Linked DNA regions of Sus scrofa. The protein of the gene in region 2 interacts with the protein of the main gene of each other region in a biochemical or structural test. Links are inferred from orthologs where the notes say so. Each region holds a gene or a part of one and is shown on either strand. Other genes may lie near its edges.

What was found. The genes of interacting proteins can lie anywhere in the genome.
Region 1: the proteins of RAB6A (region 2) and BICD1 form a complex in vitro, tested with the Homo sapiens proteins (3 studies listed by BioGRID). The link is inferred for Sus scrofa from reciprocal best matches to the Homo sapiens genes RAB6A and BICD1.

The regions. Positions count from the first base shown.
Region 1 is NC_010447.5:41,937,286-41,940,931, forward strand, and holds part of BICD1 (protein bicaudal D homolog 1), read right to left. Parts: intron 1,916-3,646; coding exon 1,598-1,915; intron 616-1,597; coding exon 422-615; intron 1-421. UniProt on the Homo sapiens protein: Regulates coat complex coatomer protein I (COPI)-independent Golgi-endoplasmic reticulum transport by recruiting the dynein-dynactin motor complex.
Region 2 is NC_010451.4:8,196,330-8,200,427, forward strand, and holds the start of RAB6A (ras-related protein Rab-6A), read right to left. Parts: upstream 2,884-4,098; 5' UTR 2,260-2,883; coding exon 2,190-2,259; intron 1,894-2,189; exon of another isoform or gene 1,457-1,893; coding exon of another isoform or gene 1,435-1,456; intron 1-1,434. UniProt on the Homo sapiens protein: The small GTPases Rab are key regulators of intracellular membrane trafficking, from the formation of transport vesicles to their fusion with membranes.

The DNA of each region.
Region 1 (3,646 bases), on a different chromosome or scaffold from region 2:
AAGAGCTTTTTCTAAAGACGGCTCCCTTTACTGAAATTACATTAAAGATGATCAGAACAAAAAGACAAAATTTGACCAAGAAGGAACTGCTATGAGCTACCAAACTGCAAATAGGATCCCACTGTGTGCCCTGTGTTGTGCCTGTTGCTAGTTTCCCTTCATCTAACCCATTCCTTCCAACTCTCATTTACCATCCGTGGGTGTTAAAAGGAAGTCCCTGGAGACTCCTAAGAAATGACTGGCTGAGTAAAGAAGGCACGAGGAAGTGAAGAATAAAGGCATTTTTACTTTAACTGTAGGAATTTACTGTCCTCAAAGTTAGACTCTGGGGATGGGTGGGCCTGAGAGGTTGGAAGGAAGGAGAGAGCTGTCTATTCAACTCATCATTTGCATCACATGCACCCAAGGAAAAAATGTTTACCTGGTGGAGCCACGGTTAACCTTTTTTCCTTGCTGAGCCGGTGCCCTTGGATGAATTCACTCATGGAAGGGGGGCCCTTCAGAAGAAATGACTCTGTGGAGGTGGGATCAGGGGGAACTCTTAATAAATTCTGTAGGTAGGAAGCCCCTGAAGTCCTGGGACGGCTCTGATCACAAAGGGAAGGTGAAAATTGTCTTGCAGGAGATCCAAGAAAATACATATAGGAAACAAAAAAGTTTTACTTTAATTACCTTTCAAAGCCTCACCAGTGACAACATTATTATATTGGCATTTAATTTTTTTAATATGTAAACCAAGATTTTTCATTAAATATTTAGTTTCCATAGCAGGATACAACCCTATTTGGAAACCGTACTGGATACTGGAAGAGAGATTTATTATAGTTAGTTTGAACTACAAATAGAAAATATTTATATTGTTTGATTCTTTACTGAAATTTCCTACAATAAAAATTTTACCATCAACTGAAAATACAGGGTAAGTAATTCAATATCCAGGACTCTGGAAAAAGGTTATAAAATCAAGCCACTAAAAACCTTACAAGTGATTTTTTTTTTTGAGCAATATTCATATACCAAATGAAAAAAAAAAAGCACAAAAACCTGCTTAAAAAAAAAAAGACTATACATATTTAATTTCATTTGCCCTAAATAAAGACATTCCTTTGAGTCAGTCATCAGTTTTCGGAATATGGACAAAATTCCCCTAAGAACACACATTCATATCCTTGCCCCATTAGAGAGAAGCTGGTAAATAGCACCATTACCAGAGGTACAATGGCTTTTAAAATTATCACCCATGTAAAACATAGCTTCATTCTTAATATTCACCTTTTTTCTACCCAGTTTTAGGTTGGAGGTAAGGGAGAAGCAAACTTATGCATACAAGGAACAGCAAAAATGTTAACAGACACTCGAAGATTATATTATGGTTAACCAAAAGGTGGGGTGTGGGTGACAGAAAGGAATAAATAAATACAATTATCAAAAGGTTTTAATTTGGAAAAACCAACACTGGCAAGGCCCATTTATACACCCACTCCCAGTTTTTCTCTTCTTTCCCTTCCTCCATCCTCCACAATACGAGCACATTAATTTTTGCAGTTAACTAACATCTGGCCACTGCACCAAACTATGAAGATCGCTGCATGCATACCTTTTCCTCTGAGTGCCACTGCTGACCCGAATGTTGGGTGTCTGTGGGCCCTGACTATGCAGGAGGTAAGTGTCTATGGTGGGCACGGTGACTGATGCCTCCCCACTTACTTTAGGGCTGCCGATCTTGCTCTTCCCAAGTTTGCCTTTGCTGCGTCGGGACTGCTCATGGTCAAACTCTAAGTCCTCCAGCCGCTGGGTCAGGGCGAGTTTTTGCTGGATAGCCATTCGTAACAAAGTGTTTAGAGTCTTCTTCTCATCCTCTGCAGCTGCTAACTGTCTCTGCATCTCATCCAACTGTGTGACATATTCATCACATCTGGAACCACAACAGAAAAGTGGTCAGGAGAAAATCTTGGTGAAATTAAATTTGGAACTTAAGAAGTTGAAAATAATGAATTTTACTGGAATTTTAGATATTTAGAACAATGGTCTTCCTCGAGCAGAGTGGAAGTAATCCATTACTGTAGAAAATTAGAAACAGAGTAGGTTCGATAACTGATAATTCATCTATACAAGGAAGTACACATGGGGACATTTTCTTTCTTTTTATGTTTTTAAAGCTGCACCTGGGGCATATGGAAATTCCCAGGCTAGGGGATGAATCAGAGCGGCAGCTGCTGGCCACAGCCACAGCCATGCCAGATCCAAGCTGCATCTGGAACCTACACTGCAGCTCATGGCAATGCCATAGCCTTAACCCACTGAGCAGGACCAAGGATCAAACCTGCACTCTCATGGATACTAGTTGGGTTCCTACTGCTGAACCACAATGGGAACTCCCATATGGGGACATTCTTAACAGGTGGTATCTTAAACCTCAGAGACAGAGTTATTGCGCGCGGCTGATCCACGGTGGCAGAAGATCCAATGTTAAAGTCTCAGGTGAGGTTCACAGCACTGCAGATGTGTTACATTAGCTTTTTCTACTGTGTAACATTGTACTCTTAGGAGGAGTGTGACAAATTTGTTATAGTCTATGCCTGCAGCATGCAAAAGAATAATAATATTTATAAAATGTACTTCTTTATATTTATAGGTTTTATTTTAATTGAGTATAGGTTGTAGTTGATAGTACTTTGAATATGGCAGATTTGCCTGAATTAGAAACCTGAGTATTTTCAGTGATTTCTCAACCAGATGATTAACCAGTAGGAGTCAAAAAACCCCCAAGATTTGTGCAGGGTTTGATACGGATATAGCCAGCTGTCAGAAACACCTTTATTCAGGTCTGATGCTCATGCTGCAGCAGGAAGATAAGCTCAGTGGACTTTTTCCACCAAAAGTAACACCTGAACACATGTACATTTGGAAGGAAGAATTATTCATATAATTTATTCAGAAATTTTTTTCTTTCTGAATTTATTTACCCACTAAGAAAGTAATAACTTTCTTCAAGAACCAGCAGATAGTTACCGACTTTCTGGAATTATCCAAAATGTATTATATCCACTTTGAAATAAACATAAGACTTGTAGTATTTTAAAGACAGAATACTTTAGGAGTTCCCGTCATGGCTCAGTGGTTAACGAATCTGATGAGGAACCATGGGGTTGGGGGTTCAATCCCTGGCCTTGCTCAGTGGGTTAAGCATCTGGCGTTGCTGTGAGCTGTGGTGTAGGTTGCAGACGTGGCTTGGATCCGGCATTGCTGTGGCTCTGGCGTAGGCCAGTGGCTACAGCTCCCATCGGACCCCTAGCCTGGGAACCTCCATATGCCACGGGAACAGCCCTAGAAAAGGCAAAAAAAGACAAACAAACAAACAAACAAAAAGACAGAATACTTTGTAGTCAAAGAACTTGAGATCCAGATGGGTCTCATTATCTTTAACACTGTATGTCAAGAAGCACAGCAGGAACATCATAAGAAAAATTGAGGTTTAGTAAAATAAAATGTGGATTTCAGGATTCCAGATTCATTTTAATCGGTCACATAACAATATTTTAAAAAATACTACGGAGTAAGGCAGTTGCTGTAATTGAAAAGACAAATGTCTATGAAAATGCATTATTTGGGGGTAATAATTCCTATATAAACCAGATTGAGACTT
Region 2 (4,098 bases):
AGACTTTACTTAATAATGCATCAATATTGGTCCATTAATTGTAACAAATGTGCCATACTAATGAAAGATGTTAATAATAAGGGAAATTGGGTGGGACTCTATGTGAACTCTCTGCATTATCTTAATTTTTATGTAAATCTAAAACTGTTCTAACAAAATTGAGTTTACTTTTAAAAAAATCTAAGATGGCTTCAGGAATTGGCAGGAAGGGGATTTAGTAAAGACTTAAAGAAGTTAAGAAATGAGAAGCTATAAAACTCTGCAATGAGAATTAGAAGTAAATACCCAAGAAATTCAAAGGAAACCTGCAGATACTTAAGTTATGACTATTCATACTAAAATTTTCCTAGGATGGAGATTTTTCATGCAAACTAAATATCTCTGCATCACAACATCAGGCAGGCAAAAACATCCCTAGAGTGCACAATAAGCACTTATCCTATCAATAATGACCAATAGCTATATTTTATGAATGGCACTGCCCTAAAATTGTTATAATACCTGGACAAGGATCAACCTCACAGGTCTCAAGTTACTTAAAGAAACAAATTCAGAAAAAATAAACAAAGAGGAAACTTGGTAAGACAACAAGGAGAAAAAAATTATGTATGAAAGGAGAAAAATGATTTCTCAGGTCTAATTGGAAGCAATTTTGCAACTATTATTAACCTACTTTAATGTCACACAAATTAGTGTAAATAGTTCAAAGTAGTAACAAAAGCCTTGAATTAACATCAGTTATCTTCTTCCCAATCAAAAGAAATAAATGTCTTCTATAGCCTAACCTAAAACACCTAACAGATAACAATGTCTAATGACTTCGTAAGAACTAATCTCTCACTGTCTCAATTTTAAAGACAGCCAGGAAAAGTGAGAGAAAAACAATGAAGGGTGATCACCTCTAAACTGCAGAGTATGAAGTGTGTATAACACAGCATAAAATTGGAATTACCACAAGAAGTAATTTTAGAGACAGCAGCCATCACAAAATAAGGACCTTTATCTAACACAAAGTAAGGACCTTTATCTAACACAAAGTACAATGACGGCAGAAGCATGGTCAGGTAAACAAATGATTTTACTCATCAGATACAGTGGAATATTAACCATAAAAGAAGCATTTCGCCAAAATGGTATCATGTATTTATCTAACTTAGATAACCAGATGAAAAACCCATCTCTTCTCTCTCTCTTACTCCCTGACCCCAAAGGAAATCCTACAAAACAAAGATGTTCGTTATCCTAAAGCCTTCTCTCACAGGAATCCTCAATCTATCATTGGAAAATACTCAAAAAGAAATGGAATAATTAGCATTTCCCCAGTAATTCCTGTTTGCTCCACTGTGAGGAGAATCAGACCCCGCTTCGTGTTAAAACAGAAAAAGGAGAGGTGAGATGTGAAAAATTCCAAGTAAAACGATCATGACATAGCACCTGGCAGAGACTGGAAAAGCATCCACGCGGCCAAAAGGATCGTCAAGGATGAAAGTCAGGAGAAGAAAACGAGGTTTTCCAACAAGCCGCAGCCTAGCCCATCGGGTAAAAATCGCCACTGCCGCCGCCCCTCCCTCACTCCCCCACCACTCCATCCTCAAGTCGCCTCCAAGGCCGACGTGGACCCTCTGGAACCCAGGCCAACCCCCCACCCAGGTGAAAACAATCCAAGAATTTTCTAGGACTCCCCACTTTCCACCTTCCAGAAGATCTGCACTTCTCAGGGCCAAGCCTCTGGGGAAAACAACGCCCAGATCCCCCCTCCCGGCGCGAGGTTCCAAAGAGCCGGGTCCCGCCGGTGGGCCTCGCAGGGCTGACCGACCGGGATCAGAGCGAGGAACAAGGGTGGGGCTCAAGGAAGGGAGCGGGAGCTGGCGAGACGACGGAGACCGGAGGAAGAAAGGGATGGACAGGAGGCTGGGCGGGGTGAGGACTGGGGAGGGCACGTCGACAGGGGAGGGCCGGGCTGCGGGGAGAGGAGCCGGCGGAGTCGGGGCCAGAAGGGGCAAAATCCGCCCGACGGATCGCGGCGAGGAAGCACGGGGGGCGACGAGGGGGCGGCCGACGCGGGGCCGGGGCAGGGGGCGGAGGGCGAACGCGAGGGCCGCAGCAGCCTCCGCGGCCGAAGGGCCGCACTGGGGGCGGTGCGGGGAAGCCGCGGCCAGCTGCCAGGAGTGGGGGAGCCGCGCACTCACCGCTCTGCTCCCCCAGGAACACCAGCTTGAATTTCCTCAGCGGATTCCCGAAGTCTCCGCCCGCGGACATGATGGAGCCGGAGGAGCTGCGCCGCCTCAGCCCAAAGACCTCCCGGACCGACGCGGCTCCAAGCAGTGGACGGAGAGGCTAGAGAATGGGCGGGCGCCCAGCTCTCTCGGCCGCTGCAGGGCCCGGAGCGGAGCAAGACCGGAGGGCAGGGCCCCTCGACACAGACAGGCAGCCGTCGCCGCCGCCTCCCCTCAGAGCCGCCTAGCACCGAGCGAGGCCCGAGGCTGGGAAGGGAACGAAGGCGGTGTCGGAAGCAGCCAGGGGAGTGCTCAGGGGTCCGAAGGCCAGAGCGGCTCCCTTCTCAGCACCCGGCTCGGAGGCTGGGGTGAGGGCGGAGGAGCCGGAGCCGCAGACGCGCCTGGGACCTCTCACACGCAGCGCTTCAGCGCCTCAGCTGCCGCCGCCGCAGCCCAACCTGCTGAGTGCGCGAGCCTGTGGCGCGGCGCGGGGCGAGCCCGGGCACGAGCCTGCCGCCCCGCCAGCCCCAGCGTGCGTGCGTGCGTGCGTGCGCGTGCGCGCCACAGACGGCGTCTTCCTGGTTTAGCCTGCTTTCCCGGCTCCGCGGCAGCGGAGACCGGGGGTGGTTAGGTGTACGCTCGCGTCGGGAGAAGCGGGGAGGTGGGGTGGAGCCTGGAGGAACCCAAAGGGTGGAGTAAGGAGCGCTTTCGTCACTTATACGATGAGCCAATCGGAAGAGGTCAAGGGCGGGCAAGGATGGGAATGAGGTGGCGGCGCGAGAGCGCGCTCGCTGCCCTCGAGCGGTGGAAAGTGTCTCACAGTGGCGGCCATGTGTAGTGTGGCGCGTCCGAGCCTGAGGGGAGGAGAACAGAGAGAAGCGGGGTGGAGGCGGGGCCGGCGTGGAGGTGGAATTGACCCCTACAAGAGCGGATGAAGTCAGAGAGTACTAAGGTGTTTAGAAGGTTCCTAGTTCTGAGCCTTTAGCCCTGCCTCAGATTCCTGCGAGCCCCACTTCACCTATGCCCCCACCTTCTCCAACCTCTTCTTATAATTCCTGCCATGATACCCTCCTAGGTACATTCTCCACTCCTGCTCCCAGGAGTTTCATAACTACCAGAAGCAGGGCCTCCACGTTTTTACAGATGAGGAAACTGAAGCTCGTAGGAAGGAAATGACTTACAAAACCCACAGAACAGTAAAATTGAAGCCAGGTTTTGTCTTTTTCCCCCATTGAACTTCTGCAACCTGCTAGTTGATAAGACCATCCTTGGCCTGATGTGGCTTGGCCTTCTGTTAGCAACCTCTCTTCCTCAGATGGGCCAGCCCAGGTGAGCCCACCTTCTACTGTGATCGAAAAGGATTTAGATATCATGTAAACATAGGGTAAAACTGAGGCTCAGGTAGGAAAACAAGTTTGCAAAAAGGTCACACAACAAATTCGTGGTAGAGCATGCCCCTGATGAAGTGGGCTTTTTTTTTTTTTAACAGCCACACCTGTGGCGTATGGAAGTTCCTGGGCTAGGGGTCGAATTGGAGCTGTAAATTCAGGCCCATGCCACAGCTTCAGCCACACCAGATCCTAGTTGCTTCTGAGATCTACCCTGGAGGTTTCCACTTTGTAGGATCCGTAACCCATTGAGCAAGGCCAGAGATCAAACCCGAATCCTCACAGAGGCAAGGCAGGGTACTTAACCCACTAAGTCACAGCAGGAATTCCTGAAGTAGATATTGTATTTATTTATTGGGGTTTTTTTTGTTTTTTGTTTTTGTTTTTGTTTTTTTTGGCTTTTTAGCGCCATACCCGTGGCATGTGGAGGTTACCAGGCTAAGGATCAAATCAAGAGCTACAGCAGCTGGCCTGCGCCACAGCCACAGCAACAC